7 linked regions of the Oryctolagus cuniculus genome follow. The protein of the gene in region 4 binds, or shares a complex with, the protein of the main gene of each other region. Links are inferred from orthologs where the notes say so. Each region holds a gene or a part of one and is shown on either strand. Other genes may lie near its edges.

Region 1 (3,500 bases), on a different chromosome or scaffold from region 4:
AACTCTCAAAAAAAAAAAAATCTTAAAAAAAAAATTAAACAAAGATCTACCATGTGATCCAGAAATTCCACTCATAGGTATCTACCCAAAAGAAACAAAAACATACATTTATGTTAAGACATGTACAGGAATGTTCATAGCAACATTATTCAAAACAGCCCAAAAGTCGAAATAATCCCAATGTCCATTAACCAATGAACAGATAAATTGTGGTATATTCTTACAATTGAATATTCTAGCAGTGAAATAAGGTATTAATACAGACTACAACATGGATGAAACACAAAAAGAATGCTAAGCAAAAAAAAGCTACAGACAAAAGACCATCAATTATATAATTCTATTTATAGGAAATGTCCAGAAAGGTAAATAAACATAGACAGAAAGTAGATTATTGGTTATCTGGGATTGAAGTGAGAACAGTCACTGCAGATGGCCACATAAGATCCTTAGGAAGTGATGGAAATAGTGTAAAATGAAACAGTAGTACTAGCTGCACAACTGTAAGCTTACTAAAAATATTTGAATCGTACACTTAAAATGAGTGAACCATATGGCATATATATTAAACCTCAAGTTTTTTAAAGCTAATTTTTTTTTTCAGTTGATTTGAAAGGCAGAAACAGATTTTATCTGCTACTTCATTCTCCAAATGCCTTCAATAACCAGAGCTGAGCCAGGCTGAAACCAGGAGCCAGGAATGCCACTGAGGTTTCCCTAGGTGGCAGGGACTCAAGTAGTTGAGTCATTATCCACTGCCACCCAGGATGTGAAGGAAACTAGATTGGAGGTAGAAAAGTTAAGTACTTGAACTGGGAATCTTTGATAATGGTCAAATGTCCAGCCCTTAAGAAACAATAACCTAAATCTTAACTATAATATGAGACTATTAACACTTTAAGAGCTTAAATTTTCTTATCATCCCATCTCTCTCTCTCTCTTTTTTTTTTTTTTTTTTTTTTTTTTTGGACAGGCAGAGTGGACAGTGAGAGAGAGAGACAGAGAGAAAGGTCTTCCTTTGCCGTTGGTTCACTGTTCCAATGGCCGCCGCGGCCGGCACACCGCGCTGATCCGATGGCAGGAGCCAGGAGCCAGGTGCTTTTCCTGGTCTCCCATGGGGTGCAGGGCCCAAGCACCTGGGCCATCCTCCACTGCACTCCCGGGCCACAGCAGAGGGCTGGCTTGGAAGAGGGACAACCGGGACAGAATCCGGCGCCCCGACCGGGACTAGAACCCGGTGTGCCGGCGCCGCTAGGCGGAGGATTAGCCTAGTGAGCCGCGGCGCCGGCCCCATCTCTTATATTTAACAAAGTATCTAAAAAAAACTAACTTAGAACTGAAAAATGAACTCATCATAACTAAATGCCTTTCTAAAAAATAAAAACGGGGGGGGGGGGGGGGGAGCCTGGCACTGGGATGAAAGTGGATTAAGATACAGCCTGAAATGCTAGCATTCCACAAGGGAGTACCAGCTTGAGCCCCGGCTGCTCCACTTCCCATCCAGTCCCCTACTAATGTGCCTAGAAAGCCAGCATTAAGACAGTCCAGGTATGCGGATTCCTGACGTCCACGTGGGAAACCCAAATGGAGTTCCTGGTTCCTGGCTTCAGCCTAGCTCAGCCTTGACAATGGCAGCCACATGGGGAGTGAATCAACGGATAGAAGATTTTTTTCTGTCTCTCCCTCACGTTATCTTTCAAATAGATAAATCTAAAAACAAAACAAATGGGGGAAAAAAAAAAAAAAAAACATGAAAACCCTAAGAGTCCTATACAATTTTACTAACCAGAATTTTGTTTAGAGCCTGATGATCCTCCATGTTCTATCTTTGCCTTCTTCTTCTTCGATGATGAGGATGATGATTCAGAAGATACTGAACGCTTTTCCACTACAGGAGTATTAAGAGCTCGTTTTCTGAACAGCTCCCGTTCTCTCAACAAGCTTGGATCCATAATGCTGTAAAGAATAAAATATCTGTAAGACAAATTCAAGTCACTCAAATCTATATGCCAAATCCAAAGATCAACAAGTTCCTTCCCAAATAAAATTACAATTTATTATTAGTTCTCCGGCATTTACATTTACTCACTTATTCATCAACCCAAAAAACACTTAGTAAGGCTGGCATTGTGTACAGGTTAAGCCACCACCTGCAATGCCAACATCCCACATGAGCACGGGTTCAAGTCCCAGCCACTCTGCTTCAGATCCAGTCCCTGCTCATGTGTCTGGGCCTTCCACACATATGGGAAAACCAGACAGAATTCTGGACTCCTGGCTTCAGCCTGGCCCAGCCACTCAGGAGTAAACCAGAGGATGGAAGATCTCTGTCTCTCCTTCTCTGTAACTCTGCCTTTCAAATAATTTTTTTTTCTTTTTTAAAGCAAAAAGATCCTAGTTTAGCAGGAATAGAGACAATGGCTATAAACAATTGAATGGAAAAATGACCATTTTACCCATATATGGTAAATTTTAAAATAACCACGGGTCATTAAAATTATAGTAGTATAACTTTTTTTTTTTTTTTTTTTTTTTGACAGGCAGAGTGGACAGTGAGAGAGAGAAACAGAGAGAAAGGTCTTCCTTTGCCGTTGGTTCACCCTCCAATGGCCGCTGCAGCCGGCGCACTGCGGCCGGCGCACCGCGCTGATCCGATGGCAGGAGCCAGGAGCCAGGTGCTTTTCCTGGTCTCCCATGGGGTGCAGGGCCCAAGCACCTGGGCCATCCTCCACTGCACTCCCTGGCCACAGCAGAGAGCTGGCCTGGAAGAGGGGCAACCGGGACAGAATCCGGCGCCCCGACCGGGACTAGAACCCGGTGTGCCGGCGCCGCAAGGCGGAGGATTAGCCTAGTGAGCCGCGGCGCCGGCCAGTAGTATAACTTTTTTTCTGAAGATTTAGTTTGAAAGTCAGAGTTCCAGAGACAGGAAAAAGAGATCTTCTATCCACTGGTTCACTCCCCAGATGGCCCAACATCCAGGACCAAGCCAAAGTCAGGAGCTTCTTCCAGGTCTCCCACATGGGTGGCAAGGGCCCAAACACTTGGGCCATCTTCAATTGCTTTTCCCAGGTCATTAGCAGGGAGCTGGACAGAAAGTGGAGCAGCCAAGAAATGCACCAGTGCCCACGTGGGTGGGCTGTCACCGCCACAGGCAGTGGCTGTATCCCCTATACCATGATGCCCACCCGTGGTATAACATTTTTAACCACTGGTTTGACAGAGGTATAAAACAAAGTTTTACAAACTGTATTTGCAGCAATACTGGTACACACAGGCATTTTTTATTTTGGGGTTTCTTTCCTCTTTAATTTTAGCTCCTACACATAATGAAGAACACGTAATATTTATCCTTCTGTGTCTGGCTTATTTCACTCAACACAGTATCCTCCACTTGCATCTATTTTGCTCAAATGGTAGAACTTCATTCTTTTTTATAGCTGAATAATATTTCACTGGGCATATGTACCACATTGTCTTTATCTAGTCATCTGATGGACACC
Region 2 (4,036 bases), on a different chromosome or scaffold from region 4:
AGCAGTTCTGCTGCCCAAGGAATCAATAACAAGCATTCTTATGATTCACGTTCATCCTGCTTTATTCCGAAGCACTTTACCGAAAAGCCCCTTGACCCAGCCAAGAAGTTCAGGGCCAGGAGCCAAGACACCTGGACTCCAGACCTGCGTGTGGCAGATCTGGAACCTTCTTGGGGGTCTAGGTTTCTCCCATTGACCCTCGGATGCCTGGTGAGGCTGCTGTTGTCATTCCACAGATACGGAAACTAGGATCAGGTGGGGTTAAAACTTGCCCAAACACTCACACTATTAAAAAAAAAAGTTAGGACTTTTGATCCCAAAGCCTTTGTCAGAAATAGCAACTGGTTCCATGCCCCGATTTCGGTGCAGCCTGAGATGGCTTGATCCTGCATAAAATGTCCCCAGAGTGAATCAAAGGCAGATCAAGTGTGAGGGCCTGCAGGTGAACTGTGGAGGTCGGAGTGCTCTTTAACCAAAAAAATAAAAAAGAACCAACTACGGGATGCAAAGTCAAGTCCAAGGTCTTGCACAGGCCTTAAAGCTTCAACTTCATTCGCATGATGGTCAGTCTGCATCTTCCTCATGTCCTGCCCGCTAAAAACCCAGACACACCAGATCCCGGCGGCGCCCTCCTCCCGAGGCGAGAACCGTGGCAGGAGTCTTGGGAAAGGAATCTCATCTCTCCCAGGAGGCAGGAGGAATTACCGCGGCGGAGAGCCCGTGCGAGGAGGGAGGGAGGCTGCGCGCCAGCCAAGAGCCCACAGGGGCCCGGGGACGCAGCGGAACAAGACGCGGGCAGCGGCGGGGCCGGGGTGGGAGCCAGGCGTCATGGCGCTGTCCCGGACGAAGGGCCAAGCCGTGGGCCGGCCTGCCGCAAGCCAGCGCCCTCGGCTGTCCGCGGGCTCCCTGCGTCCTGCCCTGAGAACACTTCCCCGGAGCTAAGAAGGCAAAGTCGGACAACCCCGGCGCCGGCAGCGGAGGCCGAGGCCGGACGCTCTGCGCGGCCCGCGCGGCCCGGGTGCCGGGCGCCCCTCGCGGCTCCCCACCGCCGCCGGGGGGCAGCGCCCGCGGCCTGCTTTCCCCGGGCTGGTCGAGCCTTTTTGACAAGCTGATTGCGTGGCGGGGATTGGCTGGTCCGGGCGTGACGCCGGTAACAACAAAGGTGGAGTTGGAAGAAATTAGATTAAGGGAGAGGAGGAAAAAAAAAATTAAAGGGGGAGCTGGCAGGGGACAGGCGGCGGCGAGCGAGGGGGAGATGCGCGCGGCGCGGCCTCCGGTACCGACTGGGCCCCCGGAAGCCTCTCCGCGTAAGCCCGCCGGGACCTGGCTCTCGCTTCCCACCCCGGCCCACTTCCGAAGCCGGGTAGGAGAGACGGCTGCTGCTGCTTTGGAAACCTCCCAGCTCCCACCCTGCCACCCCTCACGACGACCCGAGGGGAGAACTTTTTGCTCGGACTCCACGTATCCTCAGCCCGGCGAAGGTGGGGGGGCGCTGGGAAGGAGGCTCGCTCCAAACCCGGGACGGCCCCGCGGGGCTCGGAGGTCGGGCGAGGAGCGCTGCCGCTCCGGTCTTCCGAGATGGCTCATCTAAGAGCTTCTTTCTGTCTTTTCTTTCTTTTTTTTTTTTTATAACACCCCCCCCCCTTTACTTCCCCCTCGCTTTGGCTTCAGGGTTGCAAAAGCAAAGAGCAATAAAAAAAAAAAAAAAAAAAGGAAAGAAAAAAGAAAAAGAAAAACCGCGCACACACTCAGACACACGCCAGTGGCGACAGGGGAGAGTTGGAAAGGCGCAGGAGAGAAGCAGGAGGCGGGCGGCGGCGGGGCCGGAGCCTTGGGAGCGGGGAGCGGGCAGGTTCCCTCGCAAAACCCCCTCCGCCCCACGGCGCCTCGCCGGCCCCGGCAGGGGAGCGAGGAGCCGGGCGAGCAGATGGAGGAGTGGAGCTCGCTCTAGGCAGCGGGCTTGGCCGGAGAATGGAGGAGCCGCCAAGCGACCGGCTGATTGGAAGAGAAACGCAGAGCGATGGAGGCGGGGGTAGGAGGACGATTTCTCTGCGGGGACTGGCGGCGGCGTACACGCCCGGGTCGGGCGCTGCAGAGCTTGGCTGGCTTTCAACCCGCGCTCGCCGGCTCCAGCCCCGCGCGCCCCCACCCCCGGCCCTCCCGGCGGCTCCGCAGGTGAGTGCGAGCTGGGGGCAAAAAGACCCAAAGTCTCCGCACTCCCGCCCTGCAAAAAAAAAAAAAAAAAAAAAAGAGGAAAAAAATTTTTTTCCTTTTTTTCCCCCCAATTTTCGCGCAGCCCCGAGAGCGGTGGGAGGGAAGGGGTGAGGCTGAGCCACCCGGAGGAGGCGGAGGGGCCAGGCGAGGCCGCGGTGGCCCGGGAGGCGGCGGCGCCGAGGCGGCTCTGACGGGCGAGCGCTCGGAGCGGCGCTGCGCTGCGCCGAGGCGGGCGGGCGGAGCGGGGCGGGCGGAGCGCGGCGCGTGGGGCTCGCCATTAGCCGTCGCTCCGCTTCGCCATCTCGGGCTTTGTCTGGCGACTCGCTGCCCCGGAGTCGGCTGCGGCGGAGCTGCGGCTCGGCTCTCCGGCCCGCCGCGCCCCCAGGTGTCCCCGGCCCGCGCTCCCATCCACACGCTCGGTAAGTGAGCCCCGGCGCCACGGATTTCGGGGGAGAGGGGTTGCTCCGAGCGGCCGCGCCGCCGATCTCCATGCGCCCAGGCAGGCCTGGGGAGCCATGCCGGGCTGGATTGAACCGGCTCCCACCGTGGCTCCTCGCCGCTTCCTGGGTGTAAGGAGCGAAGGGAATTTCTTTTTCCCCCTTGGCAAGGATATTTTGCTTTTCGAGTTTCGCGTGTGCCGTTCGGCGGCGAAGTAGGCGCCGAAGCTTGGCACCGCGATCGGCACCCCGAGCGAGTAGCCACGCTCTGGGGAAGGTGGGCGCGAACCGCCCGCGCCGGGAGGCGGGAGAGGGCCGGCTTGGAAGGCCGGATCTGGGCTGGGAGGCCGTGGAGGAGAGGTCCGGGGCTGCACTGCGGGCACCCCCGAGCCTCTTCGGCCGCCGGGGGGCCCTCCGGGCACCCTCTCCGCGGCCGCGCCTCGGCCCTCCCTCCCGCGCCGGCCGAGCCTGCTAGTTCCCCCGCGGGTCTGGCGAGGTCGCTCTCGGCGCCCGCCCGCCCGCCCGCCTCGGCTCCGAGCCCCGCCGCCATCCGGGCGGCTGCGTGTCTCCCTGCCCCGGCCCCCCCCCCTCCCCGGCGGCAGCAGCAGCAGCAGCCGCCGCCGCCGCCACCGCCACCACCACCACCACTACCACCACCCCCCTCCCCTCCTTCCTTCCCTCCGCCTCGGCCGCCCGGGTCCCCCCAGCTCCCGCCCCTCCTCCCAGCTGCCCCCCGCGGAGCCCGCCCGGGCAGGCTGTGGGAGGGAGCGGAGCCGGCGAGGCGGGCGGGCTGGCGCTCGCTCCCCGGGGGTCGGTGTGCGCTCTACGGGGAAGGACGCGCTCGCTGCCCCGCTTCTCCCGCCCCCCCTCCCGCTCCTCCTCCTCCCTTCTCCCTCCTCCTCCCCGCTCCGGCGGCGGAGGCTGCGGCGGCGGCGGGGGGTGTGCGAGCTGAGGCCGGGGCCGGCGGGCGGGCGGCGGGCGGGCTGCCTGCAGGCGGAGGGCGCTGTGCTTTGTGCTTTTCGCCGCGAGGAGCAGCAGGCAGCAGCTACAGCCGCCGCCGCCACAGCAGCAGCAGCAGCCGCCGCCCCAGCGCCGCCACCGCGCCCGGAGGAGGAGCCGCTGCCGCCGCGGGAGGGAGCTGCGGCTGTGCCCGGCCGAGCGGGGGAGGGCGCCGCCGCTCAGAGCCGGGGAGGGAGCCGCCGGAGCGGGAAGCCCGGAGGTCGCGCTGCGCCGGGTAACCGAGGCGGCTGAGGGCGCGCGCTGGGGGTCGGGGCCGGGGCGGCCAGGGAGAGACCCGCGGGAGCGGCGGACACCCCGGCGCAGACCCGGGGCGGCCTCCGAGCAGGGTCTGGACGCGAGCAGACCGGGGCACTGGGGAGGACGCC
Region 3 (3,500 bases), on a different chromosome or scaffold from region 4:
CTTGCATTAGAGAATGATTTCTTCAATTCTCCTCCAAGAAAAACTGTCCGATTTGGTGGAACCGTAACAGAAGTCTTACTGAAATACAAAAAGGTAAGAGGAGGTTTGGTTTTTGTTGGTCAGAATACAGTTATTCTAGCATTTTGTTCAGGACTAGTAGATACACTAAAATGTGAGATACCAGTATTGAAATAAAAAACTGCATGAAGCCTTATGCTCAAAATGAGAGTGATAATGTCTTTTCTGAGGTTTCTCCTCTTCAAATGCTTTATTTACATAGTATCTTTTTTTTTTTTTTTAAGATTTATTTATTTATTTGAAAGGCAGAATTACAGAGAGATAGAAGCAGAAAAAGACAGAGGGCTTCCATCTGCTGGTTCACTCCTCAAATGGCTGAACTGGCTGGATCTGGGCTGATCTGATGCCAGGAGCCAGGAGCTTGTTCCTGATTTCCAATGTCGGTGTAGGGGCCCAAGCACTTGGGACATCTTCTACTGCTTTCCCAGGCCATATCAGAGAGCTGGATCAGAAGTGGAGCAGCCACTTGAACTGGCATCCATACAGGATGGCGGCACTGTAGGTGGTGGCCCCTTTTCACAATATTTTTAAGACTTTAGCAACTGCTCCAATAAAAAGCCATTAGAAGATTTTATTTCTTAAGGAATTACATAAGCATTTTTGTTTATTTGTTTTTGTGTTAGCTTACAAGTAATCCTACCAAATCTCAGCAGTAAGGAGAAAACGTACATAACTGTACATTTATATATAATATCCACTTATGTCCATGCATGTGAATAGATCCTGTCTTAGTTCCCAAAATTAGATCATCACAACAGTTTGTTTTTAGTTTTTAAAAATTTTATTCTTGGCCGGTGCCGCGGCTCACTAGGCTAATCCTCCACCTTGCGGTGCCGGCACACCGGGTTCTAGTCCCGGTCGGGGCGCCAGATTCTGTCCTGGTTGCCCCTCTTCCAGGCCAGCTCTCTGCTGTGGCCCGGGAGTGCAGTGGAGGATGGCCCAAGTGCTTGGGCCCTGCACCCCATGGGAGACCAGGATAAGTACCTGGCTTCTGCCATCGAATCAGCGCGGTGCGCCAGCCGTGGCAGCCATTGGAGGGTGAACCAACGGCAAAGGAAGACTTTTCTCTCTGTCTCTCTTTCACTGTCCACTCTGCCTGTCAAAAAAAATTTTTTTTATATTCTTTAAAAATGTATTTTCATTTTATTTGAAAGAGAGAGAGAGAAAAACACAGAGAAATATCTTATCCCCTAGTTCACTGCCCCAAATACCTGCAATAGCTGGGGCTGGGCCCGAACAAAGCCAAGGTGGCAGAGACCCAGACACTCGAGCCATAATCTGCTGTGTTCCAGATGCACGTCGCAGAAAGCTGGATCAGAAGCAGAAGAGCCTGACTTGACCCAGGCGCTCTGACGGGGATGTGTAAATCCCAAGCAGCGACTTAAATGCTGTGCCTTTCAAATGCCTAACCTGCAGCAGGTTTTTTTTTTCCTTTGAAAAATAAATTTATTTATTTTACTTATTAGAGATAGAGCTCCCATCTGCTGGTTCACTTCTCAAATGCCTGCAATGGCTGGGGCTAGCAGGAGCTGATAACTCAAAAGTAGGTCTGCCATGTTGGTGACAGGGACCAATCTACTTGAGCTGTCACCTGTTCAGTTTTCTTCTCATTTTTTGAAACTCGGGAGTATGGACTATCATAAACAAATGCAACTAAATATAAAAGGCTTTATAGTTGTTTATTTTTTCCAAGCCTCTGGCTCCACTAACGTGCATTTAAAATTTTTTGTTTGATTTATTTATTTGAAATGCAGAGTGACTGAGAAAAAGAGATTTTACATCTGCTGATTCAGTCCCCAAATGACTGCAATGGCCAGGGCTAGGCCAGGACAAAACCAAAAGCTTAGAACTCTAGCAAGGTCTCCCATGTGGGTGGCAGGGGCCTAAGTACTTGGGACAACTTCCACTGCTTTCCCAGGCTCATTGGTAGGGAACTAAGACAGGAAGTGGGACAGCCTGAGACTTGAAGTACTGTGGTGTAGGATGCTGGCTTCACAGATGTCAGCTTAACCCCCTGTGCCACAATGCTGGCCTGCCTTTTAAAATCTTGTAGTCCTGGGGCTAACACTATAACACAGTGGATTGAGCTGCCATCTGCAATGCTGGCATCCCATGTGGGTGCCAGTTCGAATCCTGGCTGCTCCACTTCTAATCCAGCTCTCTGCTAATGTGCCTGAGAAACCAGCAGAAACTGGCTCAAGGTATTGGTCCCTTGCAGCCATGTGGGAGACCTGGATGAAGTTCCTGGCTTTTGCCTGACCCAGCCCCAGCTATTGTTTCTATTTGGGGAGTGAACCAGCAGATGGAAGATCTCTCTATCTCTTCTCTCTATAACTCTGCCTTTCAAATAAAATTAATCTTTAAAAAACTTGTGGTCATGAATTCATAATCTGCAACTGATGGATGAAACATAGAATGTTATTTTTCAAAATTGAGAGGCCGAGAGAGAGTGAGCTTCCATCCCCTGGCTTACTTCCCAAATGCCTGCAGTGGTCAGGACTGGGCTGAAGCCAGGAGCAGGAATTTAATCTTGGTCTGTCTACTTTTCGGGTGGCAGGAACCCTTTTGAACTATCACTGCTGCCTCCCAGGGTCTGCATTAGCAGGGAGTTGGAGTCAGGATCTAGAGCTGGTGTTGAACCCAGGTACGCCACTATGGGATGGGGATATGCATATCTAAACCAGTGTCTTAAGTTGCTAGGCCATCTGCCCGCCCCACAATGCTCCTTTTGTAATTTCATCAAATGTTAAAGTATAAAAGTCTTGCTGTTGATATTTAACAGGAAACCAAAACTTCATTTTCTCCCCATTCTTGTTAAGGGTGAAACAAATGACTTTGAGTTGTTGAAGAACCAGCTGTCAGATCCAGACATAAAGGTAATTAATTTTTTATTTGATTCTTAGCAAAGTTACTGCTATTTTGAACAGACATTAGTTTGTACTTTTGGTCCTGTTCTATCCTCCAGACCTTTCTCTCCGTTATTCTTTCTGGATTTACTCCTCACTCAGGGCCGTTTACCCGCTAGGGGACATTTGGTGATGTTTGGAAATGTTTTTGTCTGTCACAATTTGGGAGTGGATTACAGGGATGCTGCTAAACCCTTTCTCACCATGGACAGTGCAGCCCCAGCAACCAAGAATGATCCAGCCCCATTGCCAGCAGTACTGAGGTTAGGAAACCCGGCTTTAATCCTTTCTACTTCCTCTGCTGTCTGCAACCCTTGTCTCTCCAAGCTCAAACCAAAAACACATCAAGAGCTAACTGGGCTTCAAGCTGCTAGTGCTTCAGTGTTTCCAAGGTCAAGTTGTAGCAACTCAGTGCGTTTTGTTTCACCCCTCTTTATTGCCCAGTTTTGGAAAGCGGTTTGTTGCTATGACAGCGGTAGATTACCTGGGATAAAACCTCAATTCATTGTTATTGTT
Region 4 (4,203 bases):
AAGCCTATTGCGACTCGTGTATTGAATGACTGCTTCTCTTTGATTGTAACAGGGGTGATGGTCATATGTATGCTGTGTTAGCATGTTTGTGGAGGAAGAAGCAGGAAATTGCTGTTTCCCCAAAAATATTTGATTTTTTATGTGAAAATCTCCATTTAAAAATGTTTATTTATTTGAAAGGCAGAGAGAGAGAGAGAGAGAGAGGTGTCTTCCATCCACTGGTTCACTCCCCAAATGGCCTCACTGGCCAGGACTTGGCCAGACCAAAGCCAGGAGTCAGGAGCCTCCTCTGGATCTGACACGTGTGTGCAGGGGCCCAAACAGTTGGCCATCCTCTGCTGCCTTCCCAGGCATACTAGCAGGGAGTGGGATTGGAAGAGAAGTAGTTGAGACTTGAACCACTGCCCATATGGGATGCTGATGTCACAGGCAGTGGCCCTACCTGCCACACTGCAATGCTGGCCCTAATACTATTATTTTATTACAGAGGCACAGAGGCAGAGAGTGAATCAGCTGGCTCGCTCCCCAAATGCACACAACAGCCCTGGTTGAAATCAGGAGCCAGTCACTTAATCCAGTTCTCCCATGTGGGTGGGAGGGAATCAAGTACTTGAGCCAGAAACTGCTGCCTCCCAGGACGGCCATCAGCAGGAAGCTGGAATTGAGAAGTGGAGCTGGGCTAGGCCAAACTCCTGCCCCCTGGAAAGACAGGGAAATCCCAGTTGAATGTCTCAAGTTGGTTTGTGGAGATGCAACCACACAGTTTTAACTTCTGGAAATGAAAGGTGAAGCTAAAGTTCTCAAGTTGATGGATGGAGTCCTACTTAATAAGATACCAAAGACACAGTGCATGTGGGGGAAGCAAGCCTGCTTCTACAATTAACTTTATAATAACTGTTAACAATTATTTCTGGGGCCAGAGCCGTGGCGCAGCAGGTTAACCCCCGGCCTGAAGCGCCAGCAGCCCATGTGGGCGCCGGTTCTAGTCCTGGCTGCTCCTCTTCTGATCCAGCTCTCTGCTATGGCCCGGGAAAGCAGTGGAGGATGGCCCAAGTCCTTGGGCCCCTGCACCCACATGGGAGACCAGGAAGAAGCTCCTGGCTCCTGGCTTAAGATCGGGCAGCTCCGGCCGTTGCTGCGAATTGGAGAGTGAACCATCAGATGGAAGTCCCCTCTCTCTCTGGTTCTGCCTCTCCTCTCTCTGTGTAACTCTGACTTTCAAATAAATAAATCTTTAATTATTTCTATAAAGTTGTAATAATTTCATTTTCTTAGCTCTGCTTCTATTCTAAGTAAAATATCTTTTGTGAAAGAAGTAAATGAATGTAAATGTTCGAATCTAATCGGCATTTATGCCACTGAATATTCTTTGAAAGAATGCAACTCCCACAAGCACGTCTTTTTTTTTTTTTTTTTTTTTTCTCCTAGGAATACATGGGACCAAGGGAGGGCCAGTGAACCGCTAAAGCTACCAAAATCCTTTAGCTTTAAGTGCGAGGTGTCGAGGGCGCTGCCCCGCAGGTGCGCCTGCACTGTAAAACGAGTAACAGGCGTGGAGGCGAGGGAGAAGCAAAGGGCTGGAGAGCAAAAACACGATCAAGCATGACAAGGACGGGAGGCGGCTGGCACACAGCCCCAGCACAGGTACCCAACAACCTGAAAACAGCCTAGAATGTGCTTTTCTACGGGGTAACAAAAAAAAAAAAAAAAAAAATCACTGGTTAACCGAGTCTAAGTCATCAGAGGAACGGCGCGTTCAGGATTCCACCGGCACTTGTCACCTCCGTCCCTCTTAGTCTCGGTCCTTCCGGAAAAGCGTTCATTTCCGCCAATCTCACGAGTCAGAAATACAAACTTCCTTTGAAGAACTGTTAAAATGATTTTCTTTCCTGAAAAATGAGAATAGCTAAGTGTTAAAAAATGTGCTTGATGTCCACAGAGTCCGTTGCGAGCAAGAAACTAGTTTTAGAGTCTTGCGCAAACTCGGTTTCCGGGCCGGGCCGGGGCGGAAGGGGCGGTGCTCGTCTTGCGTCACAAGCCAGCGCCGGAAGTTGACAGCGACACTGCGTGTTGGGAGCAGATGCGGAGTTTCTCCGTTCTACGCAGGTAAGGAGTTATGGGGCTGGGGTTTAGGTGTGGGTATTTGAGCCAAACCAGAAAGACACTTGGGGGCTAAGAAGGTCCAGTGCGAGGTTAGAGTCAGGAGATGCTGGTGGAGGAGTTGGTGCCGTCAGTGCTTTGCCTGGTTTCTTTTAGTTGAGCTGTTTAGCCATTGGGAATTATTTTAGTATTCTTCCCGGCGGTTAGTCTGTTCCGTTTTGGAGGGATATTCATGTGTTAGATGAGAACTCGAGTTTTGAGCCGAATCTGAATCCTTTTGCCTGCGCAAACTAGTATCTCTCAGCCTCGCTTTCTTCGTGTATAAAACAGGAGTGACACTTGAGGGTTGTTGTGAAGATTATAATGAAGGAACAAAATGCGGATCATTTTCTGTCGTGCCCAGTTTGGGGTCGACTCTCAGTACTTGTGTGTGTCTGTGTGGTTTGCCCCTTAGACCTAACTCCCAGGCACGGAGAAGAGCGCAGATGAGGGGGAACTGGGATCTCTTTCAGTTTTTCCTGAAAAAACAAGGGGAGGGAGGGCTGTTCGGGTTTGTGAGGAACCCCTTTGAAATACTGAGGATTTGATTCTGTGTTTGCAGGGACTGACAATGGACGCCCAGAAAGACGTTCAGCCCCCAAAGCAGCAGCCAATGATATATATTTGTGGAGGTAAGGATAACGCTACATAAAGTAAGAGTATTTTGCTTAATTTGTTTTTGAAATTATTACATTTATCCTTTGAATGAATGAGTCATTGGTGTTTAAAGTTATAAAGGAGCGCCTCGTAGCACCACTTAAAACTCTTATTTGCTCTGGAAAAACAGCATTGCCCACAACTCTCTTCTTTCCCATTTAGTATATTTTGTAATATCATACCCTTGCCTGATATGGTTAAGATAATTTGCCTGTCTGCACTGTTTTCCTTTTAAATTTGAGTAAGCCTTTTTTTTTTTTTTCTCCCTAGAATGTCACACTGAAAATGAAATAAAATCCAGGGATCCAATCAGATGCAGAGAATGTGGATACAGAATAATGTACAAGAAAAGGACAAAAAGATGTATCCTTTAACTCTACTTTTAAAATCTGAGGTAGGAGCCAACTGTAGAGTGATGCAGGGGTTGATAGACACTACTTCTGGTAGAAACCGTAAGAACTTTGGATTAATTAAAGAGATATTATTAGCATTTTTCATAGACAAGAACTGAAGCACTAAATAATTGAAATACTAGTTGATTTTGATTCTCATAAGTTTATTTTCCAGAGATTCTGTATTTACATAAGAACTGATTGTTCAGCTTGACAAATAAATTATACAAGGAGTAATACAAATATTGTGTATGCTACTTAGTAGGAAAAAGTGGAGCCAACACATGAGACTAAACACTGAGAGTGAGTTGTAATTTTCTAACATAACTTTTTTAAAATCACAAGTTATTACCTTTAGCATTCAGTGCTTTTTGATACATTGGGTTTTTTTTCATTGGTTGGGAAAAGTGCTAATAAAAATTGAAAGCTTTTATTTACTTTATATCTAGTTGTTGTAATAAATAGTGAATTCCAGGTCTTTGTGCATTTTAAATTAACAAACTAGCTTGTTGCACATGTAAAGTGATTTGGAAGTCTTCAGTCTTTTTCTGTAATTTTCAACTACATTTTTTTTTTCCTTAACTCAGATGAATACAGTGGTGGTCTTTGATGCGCGTTGAAATGTGCATTCAGAGGAATATCTTCATTTGTACTTGCATTTGCTGTTAATGTTTCTCATTGTTGTATGGCTTTTGGTTTAGCATCTTTTTGAACTACGTATGATTTCATTTTGAACCATATTGTATTTAGGTATCTTTTAATGTAAAGAAGTTAGATTACATGACTTATAATTTAATTTTATTGTTTATGTAATGTGACACAAATGAAGGTTAAAATTACTTTCTTAAACTATGCTTGCAAGCAGAACCTAGAATCATCTGGGGTCTTTGTGAAAAATGCAGATTTTTAGAGCCCTCTGAAAGTCTAATTAAATAAATTCCTTGGAAATCACTGTGTCATGAGATGTTTGTGAAATTTCCAGTGTCTTTGGTACAGAATGTAGCAGTGTGTTTGC
Region 5 (4,075 bases), on a different chromosome or scaffold from region 4:
GAGAAGCACTGGCTCAGCTCCTCAGCCGCTTCCCCTTCTATGGGTGCAAGCAGGGTAATGTCTGGCAGGAGCCTGTAACTGGCTGTCGCCACTGGTGAGAACTTGGCGTGGTCCTTGCCTGCAGGGAAGGGAGAGATCAGCCTGGGGGAATCCTCTCCCGAGCCACTGAGCGCGAAAGCCCAAGCCCACCGCCTTCTGCCGGTCAGGAGCATCCCTGGATTCCTGCGGCGACTAAGCTACGCCCTGCACCTGAGGCGGCCCACGGGTCTCACCGATGCCCTTGACACAGTGCATGAGCAGGTCAATCTCTTGGCCAGGTCGCAGCTGGGCAATGAGGATATCATCGTGCACCGGCCGGATAGTGCCCTCAGGGAAGAGGTCAGCCTGGTTCCCCAGGGGAACCCACGTCATGTGCCTGGTGTACACTGGAGGGAAGACAAGTCAGAGGGCTGTAGCCCCGAGACGCCCCCACAGCCAGCAGCCAGGCCTCCCTCCTTGCCCACTAACCTTTGTGATTCACATAGAGCTCGTTGGGGTCAGAGGAATCTTTAGCAGCGTGGGGGTTCCGAGTGCACCTGACCTGCAGCCGAAACTGCAGAGTGTCTATCTCTGTGCCCTCGTCGTCCCCTGCACAAAGGGAAGAGGCGGCCCTTACAGCAGCAGTGAGCATCAGGGTAGACACTGCCGAGTGCTACCCGTGTGCTGCTCCTCTCGTCCACAGATGATGAGTCACTTGCCCAGGGCCACAAGAGTCAACCCAGGATTCGAACCCAGGCAGCTGGTCCCAGGATCTACTAAGGAAGAAAGCGGTTCCACTTCCCCCAACAGCTTCATCTCCCAGGCCCTCACCTTGGTTCCGATATTCAAACAGTCGTGGATCAGCATGAATGGGAATGAGCCCCAGGCGGTGAGCCAGGATCTCATCCTGCACGATGGATGTGTTGTTGTACACCAGTACCTTCTCCACAGCCATTGTGGGCACCTACCCAGAGACCAGGATTACCCGTCTATAAAAACCCGGCAGACTCCCCACCTCCTGAGATGGACAACTCCTAGAAGAATGCCTCATAAAAACTTAAAGCAAAACACTCCACAAAATCGGGGGGGGGGGGGGGGGGCAACTTGAGACACTGACAGATGAGGTGATGGCACACTTCCCCACGCTCCAGCCGTCACCGGCCCCGCTGATACCTCCGCCAGCAGAATTCGCCGGAAAGCATTGGCAATGGCCGCATCAATTCCCACCATGTCAAACTCCAGCGAGTTTTCATCCATGTGTACCACATCCACGCGGAAGTTCTAGAGGCAAAGGAAAAACAAGTGGATGGAGCCTGCTCTTGGTGTGACCTGGCTACAGCTCCCCCTTGACACGGAACATCCCCGCTCCCCCAGAAGCCTTCCTCTGCCCAGCAAAGCCTCATTTGATGTTTTCTTCCTCTGTTCTTTTAGTTTCTTGAACAATGCCCCCAGTTTTGTATGCCACTAGTTGAAAATCCTATGCAATATGGCTTGAGCCAGAAGCTATTCTATGAAGAGCAGAAACTTCTATACAGTTTAGTCCAGCTGACAGGACTCAGTTCTTTTCTTACTAATGTTACATTTGGCATTGAATTAAAAAAAAAAAAAAAAAAAAAAAAAAAAACTCCTTTCTCAAACCCCATCTCCTCCGTGTCTGGGCACCAGTCCTCCATCTGAGGAGTTGCGTCTCCTTCCACCCACCACCTAGGTGTTACCGGTCCCCAGCTTCTTGTCTCTCTCCAAAGTGACATCAACCACACTCACGGTTTTAGCAACTACTATGGACAACTCCCCACATTCTGTCGAACGCTCTCCTGGGCTGCTAGCTCCTCCACACCGCGGGGAACCGAATGGGTCATCGTTCCCACTGCCCAGGCACCGCCAGCCGTCAGATGAGTTCCCACAGCCAGAAAGTCCTGACCGCTCTCACCAAAGCACTCCTGGGCTCCTTCCCCCAGCACTGCCTAGCGATCTGCCCGCCCCTTCTCCTCCTTCTCAACCACCAAAGCTGCAAACCGGATCACCTGGTCACGCCTGCTCAAGAACCCCCAGTGCCCGCCGTCAGGCCAGTGTAACATTCTATCAATAATGCGCGGTTCGGACATTCTAGGGACACGCCCACCCCGTCTTTACAAGTTAGCTCGCTTACTCCTCCCTCCTCGACCTTCACTCACCGTTCAGGGCTCAAACTCAGATGTCACTTCCTTCAGGGAATCCTATGATTCTGCCCCAGTCTAGACCGTCTCTGAGGGGTGCCCCACCCCCACTCTCAGCCGCCGTCACCGCATCCAACTAGAATGACCTGTACAGGCCTGAACAGCTCGATCGCAGAACAAGGCAGAAGCCCGGTGTGCAAGGAGCGCCCAGGACACGGTCGGATGCTGAGCAAACTTGGTTTTGCCACGTGAGTGACCCCTGGGAGCAGCTCGGAAGCCCGGGCTGCTCCGATCACACTCCGGCCCCACGCACCTTCTCGAAGCGGTCCTGATCCCAGGCATCATCATAACCGGAATAGTTCCCGGGGAAGTCGGTGGTATGAACCTAGAGATACGGGTCCGTCCGTGAAGAGGCAGCGAAGCCAAGCCCGCCCTCACTTTGATCCCGACCCGTCCCTCTCATACTTCCTTCTGAACTCAAGGCCACAAGGCTTACATTCCGAACTCCGAACTCCCCTAAAACCACGCGGCTCCGCATTTCTTCAACGGCCTGAGCCGCCGCCATCTTCGACTTCCCCCACGAGACTAAGGCCTCACGCCTGCGCGTGCGTTCTAGCGGCTTTCCTCCGTCGCCGTGGCAACGCACCGCCTCCCGGAGCCCGACGTATCGCGAGACTTTGCCCCGCCTCCGTCCACGTCCCCAACTTCCGGAAGTCTGTCTGGGCCAAACATCCGGGTTTCTCTTTTTTGCGTTCCGGCTGGTGGCGCCTGTCCTCGGCCCTGGACGTCTCCGTGCCTCAGGCCCACGTCTGCCCCCTCTTCCTCCGCGCGCGGGGCTAGCGCTGGCTTCGGGGACGGGAGCCCTCCAGGGACATGGCAGCCACCGCGGCGCCGGCCGGCGGCGCTCGAAACGGGGCCGGCCCGGAATGGGGCGGGTTCGAAGAAAACATCCAGGTAATGGCCCCAGCGCTTCGGCTGCCGGCCACCCCGACGTGTCTGGGGAAGCCTCCCTCGGGGCCCGAAAGCTTCCTCCATTTGCAACACTCCTCTCCCCTTTGGGTCTTCGTGCACGGGAAAGTCAGTGAAGCTAGTGCCGGCCGGAGGGCCTCGGGTCTCTGGACGCGCCTGAGGCGTTAGGAAGAGAGACAGAAGAGGAGGTCAATCGGGGTCAAGCGGGGCAGTGGGCGGGATTCGCTGGCACTCGCCAGAAACATCTTGTGTGCATGGTCTTGCTTGCGCCTTGCAAACCCTCGGGGCCTTTGATGGGGAAGGTGGGGAAAAGGCATGAGCGGAAGACAAGTAGGTGGCTTCTCGGGCTAGAGGAGAGCGCCGGAACCAGCAGCCAGGGGGTTCTGAGAGAAAGTGAGGGGTGACAGTGGCCTGATGTGCGGGGATTCGGAGGCGCGGCGCCAGCAGCGGGGCAGGGACCAGAAAGGCCTGCACTGTAGGAGGCATTGCCTTCACAGGGTGGGGGCTCTGCCGTGATTGACATGGAGAACATGGATGACACCTCGGGCTCCAGCTTCGAGGACATGGGTGAGCTGCACCAGCGCCTGCGCGAGGAAGAAGTGGACGCCGACGCGGCCGCTGCGGAAGAGGAGGATGGGGAGTTCCTGGGCATGAAGGGCTTTAAGGGGCAGCTGAGCCGGCAGGTGGCTGACCAGGTAAGCGGGGCTGAATCCTTGGCAAGTGCAGGATACCTGCGCGATCTGGAGTCGTGTGGGTGACCTTGACCTCAGGCTGCCCCAGTTGGAGCCCAGTAGAACCCCGACAGAAGCTAGGGAGCAGGACCCCAGGGCCAGGAGCCTCACGGGCCATCCCCGCATCTCCGCTCAGATGTGGCAGGCCGGGAAGAGACAAGCTTCCAGAGCCTTCAGTTTGTATGCCAACATCGACATCCT
Region 6 (4,139 bases), on a different chromosome or scaffold from region 4:
ACTTGAACCCGGTGCCCATAGCTCTCTGCTATGACCAGGAAAGCAGTGGAAGGTGGCCCAAGCGCTTGGGTCCCTGAGCCCATGTGGGAGACCCGAAGAAGTTCCTGGCCTCAGTCTGGCCCATCCGTGTCCGTTGCGGCCATTTGGGGGAGTGAACTAATAAATCTGAAAATAAAATACTATAAAAAATGCGTAGGAATAACTTCAACATAAAAGCAAAATAATTTGTCCACACACACACACAAATCCATGCATAGTTTTTTCACAGGACACGTTTTCTGAGGGCTTTTGAGAACCTGGGAATCGATTGTTCAAAGCAGTGTTTCCGTAGGTGTAGTCCCTGGGCCGGCACCATCATCATCGTCACCTGGATCTGTTGGAAAGGCACCAGACCCAATGGATGAGAAACTTGGGGGCAGCCGGCCAGCCACCCAACAAGGCCTCCAGGTGAGCCTGATGCACGCTGGGGGGGAGACCCACGGGGGAGGGTGATGGGCTCAGACTTGTGACTGACGGTGATTGTCCAAGCAAGGCCCCACGGCACCTGGGAACCCACGGGCAAGGTTACCAGACCCAGCCACCAACTGTACTGAAGTGCACCCCAGCTGCCGCCCTGCAGTGTGAGTACGGCTGCCTGAGGCCGTCCCTGCCCGACCGGCCCTGGGAAAGCCTCAGGTACTCCCGGGGCACTCAGACGAGGATTTAAGGACAATCGGCAGGACACCTGCTGACCCAGACGGGGCCCGATGCGTAGTAGGTGCTCGTGTTTGCTGAGCTGATGGACTAACCCTGGGACACAGGGAGCCCATGGGCTGGCGCTGTGGCCTAGCAGGTAAAACCTCTGCTTTCCATGCCACCTTCCCCCTATGGGCACAGGTTCAAACCCCGGCTGCTCCTCTTCCCATCCAGCTCCCTGCTAATGCACCTGGGAAGGCAGCAGAAGATGGCCCAAGTCCTTGGGCCTCTGAACCCACATGGGAGACCCGGAAGAAGCTCCTGGTTTTGGCCTGGCGCCATCACAGCCATTGCAACCAACTGGGAGTGACCCTGAAGATAGAAGACCTTTCTCTCTTCCTCTCTCTCTGTAACTCTGCCTTTCAAATAAACAAATCTGGAAGGAAGGAAGGAAGGTAGAGAGAGGGAGAAAGAAAGGCAGACAGACAGAGGAAGTCTATGAAGCAGAGGCGGGATTCGAACTCCACTCATCTTAGTATCCAGGATTGAGGCTCCATAGGGTTTTAGTATTTTCAATGCAGTGCGCTGTTCCCTCTCCTCCCGAGAGGTGGTGCTCTAGAGCGCGCATGGAGCCGGGCCGGGAGGCGGGACTTCCTGTCTCCCTGGGAACACTTCCGCCCAGACCCGGAAGACCGTTCATTCCTCTGTGTGGCGGGTCCCGGCGTGAGCGCGGTAGCTGGAGCGACGCTTTCGGGTTCTCTCGCGGCGGGAGGGTCTGGCGAGCGTCGCGCGGCGCCCCGTTTCCCGGGCACCCCGCCCCAGCTGAGCCACGTAAGTGTGTGCGCGCAGGCCCGGGGTGTCGGGGGGCCGGGGCCGCGCCGGCGAGTGAGGGGAGGGGCGTCCGGCTCCCACCGCCGCGGCGGCCTGGGCTCTGCGGTGCCCTCCTGGCGTTCCTGCAGGCCCGGCGGGGCGGGAGGCCGGCGGGCAGCGCGCGGGGGCCCGGCGGGGGCCTGGCGGGGGCCTGGCGGGGGTCGTGGGCGCCCTCGGGCTGCCCGGGCTTGTCTGGCGCCGCGCGGCTCCTCTCGCCCCCGCTTGTTCTCGGCTCTGTGTGCGATGTTGTGGGTATGCCCTAGGCGCTGGAGTGAGAGCCTGCCTTCCCTGGGAGCTGTGGGAGGCTCATCTTGTTTATTTGAAAGTTAGAGAAGTCCCCATCCGCTGGTTCTCTCCCCGGACGGCTGCAGCAGCCAGGCCTGGGCCGATCGGCAGCCGGGAGCTTCCTGCGGGTCTCGACCCACGTGGGTGCAGGGCCCAAGGACTGGGGCCATCTCCCACAGCGTTCCCAGGGGCACGAGCAGGGAACTGGATTGGAAGTGGCGCAGCCGGGACACGAACCGGCGCCCCCGTGGGATGCCAGCATCGCAGGGGGCGGTTTTACCGCTCGCCACACCTACCCGAGCATCCTTACGTATCTGCCACAGGCTGCTACCCGCTCTGGCAGGACAGCGGGTGTTTGGGGGAGAACAGAATTGAAGGGGTTAAGGGAGGCTCCTGGACTGGAAATCCAGGCTTTTGAGGTGGGGAGGGCGGGCCCTGGCGCGCAGTTGGAGAGGGGATGTGCAAAGGCCCTGTGGTGAGGCAGAGCCTTAAGGAGTGTGGTTGGAGCCCAGGCACCAGACATGAGCAGGAGGCTTCTCTGTGTGTGACCCTTGACCCGTCAGGGATACAGCCCCTCCCCCTCCCCGGGAGGCCTGGGGGCTTGGTGCCTGCAGTGGGTGCCTCCACCGTTCCCGCCACTGGCGGCTCCTGTCCCCAAACAGTGACGGTGGCAACAGACCCAGCACCTGCCCTCGGAGACGCCCATGCCGGTGCCCGGATAAACAGTGGGGCCGGCACAGGCCCCGAGGAACAGCTGTTCATTCCACGGGCAAGGGTTCCCCAGCGCTGCGCGGCGGGCCGTGTGCGCGGTGCTGAGGGTGCCTGGCCGCCCCGGGGCGCGCGGTGAACTGATGAAGCCCGCTGGGAGTTGGTCTGCAGGAAGGGGTTCCTGCCAAGGCCCCGTGCCGGCGTTTGCTCCTGGGCGCCGGAGAGTGAGGCGCAGAGCTGCGGCGTGGCTCCGGCGCTCGGGCAGCTGCTGGCCTGAGCGGGTCCCCGCGCCCGGACACGGACGAGGGAGGGGCCTGGCGCCACGTGTGCAGCCGCGGGCCCAGGTGTGGGGGCGCTGCTCTCGCTGTGGTGCTGTGTTCATTAAGAGAGGGCTGAGGTGGCGGCTGCTGCTTTGGGAACCTTGGCCTCTCAAAGCCCTTTGCCACGGACTTGCTCTCGGTCAACGCGTAGTACGCGCCCGGGAGGCGCCGGGGGCGGCTGCTGGGCTCGGTCCTGGCGTAGTCCTGGGACTGAGCCGAAGGGGAGGCGTCTGCAGGTGTGTGACCGGAGGCCCAAGGGCGTCTAGCAGCCGGCCCGCTCCTCCTCCTTCGTCCGCTCGCCAAGGTGTCCCTCAGACAGTGCCCAGGGCCCCTGGCAGCTCTCCGCAGGCTGCCTCCCTCCCTGGGGTCAGGCTCTGTCGCTGGCCTCAGGAGGCTCACCTGGCTGCGGGCACGCCCCTCCTCCGGGCCGGGAGGCTGGTTGTCCACCGTCCGGTAAGGCACGTAGCCCTCCTCGGGCCAGGGCTGCACGCGCGCTTGCTCTGTGTCACCTGGTCCTCCCCGGGGAGCCCGGAGGCCGGTGCCTCCTGGGCCGCGCCGGTCCTGGCCAGTGCCGGGTGCAGGTCTGCTGCGAAGGCCGGCGCTTCTTTTCCAGGATGGACTTCCCCGGCTGCCTCCGCCCCACCTCGTTTACCACCGGCCCCCTGGGGCTGAGCGACGGCCCCGACCTGTCGTTCATGTGCAGCTGGAGAGACGCGCTGACCCTGCCGGAGCCCCAGCCCCAGGACGCCAAGGTGAGGAGGGGCAGGAGACAGCCGGGACTCTGGCCGGGTCCTCGGAGTCCCGAGCTGGCTGGTGGGGCTGAGCCCTCGGGGGCTCATCGGTCAGGAGAGACGGTGTAGCAGGGCAGGCTCAGGGTGGCCCCCTGCGAGGGCCCCTCCCCCTACCGAGTGTCTGTGCTGAGCTGTCTCGGGCTGGCGGGCGGCGGAGGGTCCTCTGGGGCTCCCGGAGCAGGTGACGAGGTCTCCTGAGCGGAGGGCAGAGGAAGCGGGACTCGGAGCGGCCGGTGCGGAAGGGGGCTTCCCTGCTGGGTCAGGGTCACAGGCGCGCAGTCTAGAGCCGGCTGTTGGCCTCCACGTCCCCGCTCCTCGCCGCGCTGACAGCTGGGCTCCCTGTGGCTCCGTCTCTTCAGTGAAGCCATGTCGGAGCTCCCGCTGACTGCAGGGTGGTCGTGAGGGCGGACCGAGGCGCTCGGAGACTGGCGTTGCGCAGGGCCTGGCCAGGGGCGCGCTCTGCTCACGTGGCGCACTCTGGTTGTGTCCC
Region 7 (3,360 bases), on a different chromosome or scaffold from region 4:
TCCCAGTCCGGCTTCCTGTGAGTGCAGACCCTGGAGGCAGCAGTGGCGGCTCAGGTACCTGGGTCCCGGCCACCCACGTGGGAGGCCCGCATGCAGTTCTGGGCTCCTGGCTGCTTTGAGCCTTTGTGGAATGAACCAGTAGATGAAGCCCTCTCTACCCCTCCCTCCATCTCTCCAATACAAGGAAAATGAATAAAATTGACGACTTAGCCTATCCTGGCCTCCCTTGGAGCCTTTGGGCAGTTGGTGCCAGGACCCCACCACAGACCCCCAAAGCCATGGACACCCGAGTCCCTTCCGTAAAGGGCTTAGTGTTTCCCAGGAGCTGCACACCTTTCCCTGTGGACGCTGGCATCTCTAGGCGACTTACAGGCCCTAATGCGAATGCTGCTGTACCGTCAGATTGATTTCTTTATTTGAAAGGCAGAGTGACACACAGAGAGGTCTTCCAGCTTTGCCAAATGGCCGAAACAGCCAGAGCTGGGCCAGGCTGCAGCCAGGAGCCAGAGCTCCATCCGGGGCTCCCACGCAGGTGCAGAGCGCTTGGGCCACCTTCCACTGCTTTCCCAGGCCACAGCAGGGGGCTGATCGGAAGTGGACTCAAGTGTCGCCAGCGGCCGCCTGACCTGCTGGGGCCACAGCGATGGCCCCAGTTCTTTTTAATCATTAGAGATTTTTTTCCCTGTAACTAGTCTGGAAATAATCGCAGGTTTTCGAGAGCGGTAGCGGTAGACCACGACCGGGTTGCTGCGGTTCCCGGGGCACCAGCACCCTGCGGTCGACTGGCGCTGAGCACCCGCCGCTCAGCGTGGGGGAACTGCAGGGTGGGTGTTCCCGGCCCGGGGCCCAGCCCACCCGAGGCAGGCACCCCAGGAGCCGTCGCCTCCTGCTCCCCCAGGCGCGGCTGGAGCGGGACTTGAGCAACAAGAAGATCTACCAGGAGGAGGAGCTGCCGGAGTCGGGCGCGGGCAGCGAGTTCAAGCGCAAGCTGCGGGAGGAGGCGCGCCGGAAGAAGTACGGCATCGTGCTCAAGGAGTTCCGGCCCGAGGACCAGCCCTGGCTGCTGCGGGTCAACGGGAAGGCCGGCCGCAAGTGCGTGCGGGAGGGCGCGGGAGGGCGCGGGGCGGGCGGTGGGGCGCGGCGCTGCCCACGCGGGGCGCGCGGGAGGACACGGGGCCGCTTGTGCGTGCGGGAGGGCGCGGGGCGGGCGGTGGGGTGCCGCGTTGTCCACGCGGGGCGCGCGGGAGGACACAGGGAAGCTGGAGCGCAGCGCTGCCCACACGGAGGGGGGGGCGCGGGAGGTCATGGGGCCGCAAAGGGACAAGAAAACGGGTGTTCTTTAGGTGGAGCCAGGGGTCTGGCACCCGCTAATCAGTGACACCTGCAGATGCAGGGACCTGCCCTTCTGCCCTCCCACCCAGCCCTGTGCACTTAGTGGGTGCCCTCCCTGACCCTGCTTCCCACTGCTACCGTGTGGTCTCAGGGCACCTGTGTGACCGGCCCTGGAGGGGCAGAGGGGCAGGCTGAGGAAGGGGGAGCTGGTCGCTCAGGGAGGGGCTGTCAGGGTGTGCCGGGGCGGGCGGTGGGGTGCCGAGTTGTCCACGCGGGGCGTGCAGGAAGACATGGCGCCGCAAGTACGTGCGGGAGGGCGCCAGGTGGGCGGTGGGGCGTGACGCTGCCCACGCGGGGCGCGCGGGAGGACACGGGGGCGCTGGGGCATGGTACTGCCAGTGCGGGGTGTGCGGGAGAATGGAGGACACGGGGGCTCTGCCCGCGCGGGATTGTTCTCGGCACTGCACCGGAAGCCCTGAGCCCCCACGGCCTAGCAGAGCTGCACGGGAAGGGAGATGGCCGGGAGGCAGGTGCACAGGCCTTGGGGGGGCACCCCTGTTCTGACACCCACTTACCAGCCAGCCTCCAGCCAGCACTCCTGGATCCCCTGGGGGTCGGGGGGCTCACTGAGGCGGCCGCCTCCCCTCTACCCTGTCTTTTAAAGGTCCCCCACCTCCCACACGTGATCTTAGGGGACACATTTAACCCACATCCGGCGCAGCAGTGGGGAGTGGGGGTGCCAGCCTGGGGACCTGCCCTTCTCCCCTCCCACCCAGCCCTGTGCACTTAGTGGGTGCCCTCCCTGACCCTGCTTCCCACTGCTACCGTGTGGTCTCAGGGCACCTGTGTGACCGGCCCTGGAGGGGCAGAGGGGCAGGCTGAGGAAGGGGGAACTGGTCGCTCAGGGAGGGGCTGTCAGGGTGTGCCGGGACCTGGGCCCACAGGGCCCTGGGTGGCCGGAGCACACTCAGAGGCGTCCGGGCATGGGGGCGGGACTGGGAGGGTGGGGGCCAGCAGGCACCCCAGAGGAGATGGGGGATGCCGGTGGGGCCGGGTCTGGTGTCCTGGGCCGGGCAGTGACCGAGGCTCCCCGCAGGTTCAAGGGCATCAAGAAGGGTGGCGTGACGGAGAACACGTCCTACTACATCTTCACCCAGTGCCCCGACGGGGCCTTCGAGGCCTTCCCTGTGCACAACTGGTACAACTTCACGCCGCTGGCCCGGCACCGCACGCTCACGGCCGAGGAGGCCGAGGAGGAGTGGGAGAGGTGAGCGGGCCTGGCGGGCCTGGGCGGGCCAGGGTGCACAGCCACACGCATGACCCCGGCTGCAGGCCAGGCCCCGGGCTGGGAGCTGGGATGGGAGGGGGGGGATTGGGGGAGGGCTGACATCAGTCCACCCTCACACGGCTCGTAGTCCAGTGTGGGGCAGCACGGACAGAGCTGATACGCGCAGGGCCGGGGGTGGCCGGGCAGGGTGCTCCAACAGCACGTGCCCCACCCACCCCACCCCGTCTTCCCCAGGCCTGCAGGACCAGCCTGGGGGCTCCCCTCCAGCAGCTTCTGGGAGGGGCCTCTGAGGCCCTGGGGACGGTGGGCATAGTTAGGGGCACGTGGGCTGAGGGACATGGCATCAGGCCAGAGCCCAGAGCACTTTAAATGCCCATCTGAGGATGTGACTTTTTTTTGTAAGATTTACTTATTTGAAAGGGAGAATTAGAGAGGGAAAGACAGAGAGAGATCTTCCATCCTTTGGTTCTCTCCTCAAATGGCCCCAGTGGCTGGGGCTGGGCCAGGCCAAAGCCAGGAGCCAAGAACACCATCTCTGCCACCTGGGTGGCAGAGACCCAAGTCCTTGGGTCCTCTGCTGCCTTCCCAGGAGCATTTGCGGGCAGCTGGATCAGAGGTGGAGCAGCCGGGACTGGAACTGGAGCGTGTGTGTGGCCACAGGGCTGGGCCCCGCCTCCCTGGGGCCTCTGCGGTGACACAGGCCACAGATGCATCTGCAGGTGTCCCCGGCGCCCCCTACT

The links.
Region 1: POLR2K (region 4) and GTF2E2 share a complex: the UniProt entries of both Homo sapiens proteins name them as parts of the TBP-based Pol II pre-initiation complex. The link is inferred for Oryctolagus cuniculus from reciprocal best matches to the Homo sapiens genes POLR2K and GTF2E2.
Region 2: POLR2K (region 4) and UBTF share a complex: the UniProt entries of both Homo sapiens proteins name them as parts of the pol I pre-initiation complex. The link is inferred for Oryctolagus cuniculus from reciprocal best matches to the Homo sapiens genes POLR2K and UBTF.
Region 3: POLR2K (region 4) and RRN3 share a complex: the UniProt entries of both Homo sapiens proteins name them as parts of the pol I pre-initiation complex. The link is inferred for Oryctolagus cuniculus from reciprocal best matches to the Homo sapiens genes POLR2K and RRN3.
Region 5: POLR2K (region 4) and POLR1C share a complex: the UniProt entries of both Homo sapiens proteins name them as parts of the pol I pre-initiation complex. The link is inferred for Oryctolagus cuniculus from reciprocal best matches to the Homo sapiens genes POLR2K and POLR1C.
Region 6: POLR2K (region 4) and TAF1C share a complex: the UniProt entries of both Homo sapiens proteins name them as parts of the pol I pre-initiation complex. The link is inferred for Oryctolagus cuniculus from reciprocal best matches to the Homo sapiens genes POLR2K and TAF1C.
Region 7: POLR2K (region 4) and GTF2F1 share a complex: the UniProt entries of both Homo sapiens proteins name them as parts of the TBP-based Pol II pre-initiation complex. The link is inferred for Oryctolagus cuniculus from reciprocal best matches to the Homo sapiens genes POLR2K and GTF2F1.

What each region holds. Positions count from the first base shown.
Region 1 is NC_091433.1:80,680,211-80,683,710, forward strand, and holds part of GTF2E2 (transcription initiation factor IIE subunit beta), read right to left. Parts: intron 1,957-3,500; 5' UTR 1,953-1,956; coding exon 1,787-1,952; intron 1-1,786. UniProt on the Homo sapiens protein: Recruits TFIIH to the initiation complex and stimulates the RNA polymerase II C-terminal domain kinase and DNA-dependent ATPase activities of TFIIH. Both TFIIH and TFIIE are required for promoter clearance by RNA polymerase.
Region 2 is NC_091448.1:19,038,723-19,042,758, forward strand, and holds the start of UBTF (nucleolar transcription factor 1), read left to right. Parts: upstream 1-1,236; 5' UTR 1,237-1,481; intron 1,482-2,045; exon of another isoform or gene 2,046-2,175; intron 2,176-2,494; exon of another isoform or gene 2,495-2,633; intron 2,634-3,696; coding exon of another isoform or gene 3,697-4,036. Other genes in the region: basic salivary proline-rich protein 2-like, read right to left, coding at 3,697-4,036. UniProt on the Homo sapiens protein: Recognizes the ribosomal RNA gene promoter and activates transcription mediated by RNA polymerase I (Pol I) through cooperative interactions with the transcription factor SL1/TIF-IB complex.
Region 3 is NC_091450.1:18,578,551-18,582,050, forward strand, and holds part of RRN3 (RNA polymerase I-specific transcription initiation factor RRN3), read left to right. Parts: coding exon 1-93; intron 94-2,897; coding exon 2,898-2,954; intron 2,955-3,500. UniProt on the Homo sapiens protein: Required for efficient transcription initiation by RNA polymerase I (Pol I). Required for the formation of the competent pre-initiation complex (PIC).
Region 4 is NC_091437.1:125,592,326-125,596,528, forward strand, and holds POLR2K (DNA-directed RNA polymerases I, II, and III subunit RPABC4), read left to right. Parts: upstream 1-1,403; 5' UTR 1,404-2,106; intron 2,107-2,701; 5' UTR 2,702-2,710; coding exon 2,711-2,771; intron 2,772-3,066; coding exon 3,067-3,159; exon of another isoform or gene 3,160-3,190; intron 3,191-3,785; coding exon 3,786-3,808; 3' UTR 3,809-4,139; downstream 4,140-4,203. UniProt on the Homo sapiens protein: DNA-dependent RNA polymerase catalyzes the transcription of DNA into RNA using the four ribonucleoside triphosphates as substrates.
Region 5 is NC_091436.1:126,548,517-126,552,591, forward strand, and holds the start of POLR1C (DNA-directed RNA polymerases I and III subunit RPAC1), read right to left. Parts: upstream 2,801-4,075; 5' UTR 2,740-2,800; coding exon 2,671-2,739; exon of another isoform or gene 2,640-2,670; intron 2,560-2,639; coding exon 2,488-2,559; intron 2,191-2,487; exon of another isoform or gene 2,124-2,190; coding exon of another isoform or gene 2,043-2,123; intron 1,300-2,042; coding exon 1,192-1,299; intron 983-1,191; coding exon 850-982; intron 628-849; coding exon 508-627; intron 426-507; coding exon 273-425; intron 119-272; coding exon 1-118. Other genes in the region: protein YIPF3, read left to right, coding at 3,048-3,128, 3,641-3,838, 4,011-4,075. UniProt on the Homo sapiens protein: DNA-dependent RNA polymerase catalyzes the transcription of DNA into RNA using the four ribonucleoside triphosphates as substrates.
Region 6 is NC_091449.1:65,920,049-65,924,187, reverse strand, and holds the start of TAF1C (TATA box-binding protein-associated factor RNA polymerase I subunit C), read left to right. Parts: upstream 1-1,339; 5' UTR 1,340-1,506; intron 1,507-3,471; 5' UTR 3,472-3,472; coding exon 3,473-3,610; intron 3,611-4,139. UniProt on the Homo sapiens protein: Component of the transcription factor SL1/TIF-IB complex, which is involved in the assembly of the PIC (pre-initiation complex) during RNA polymerase I-dependent transcription.
Region 7 is NC_091447.1:60,706,499-60,709,858, reverse strand, and holds part of GTF2F1 (general transcription factor IIF subunit 1), read left to right. Parts: intron 1-898; coding exon 899-1,092; intron 1,093-2,428; coding exon 2,429-2,599; intron 2,600-3,360. UniProt on the Homo sapiens protein: TFIIF is a general transcription initiation factor that binds to RNA polymerase II and helps to recruit it to the initiation complex in collaboration with TFIIB. It promotes transcription elongation.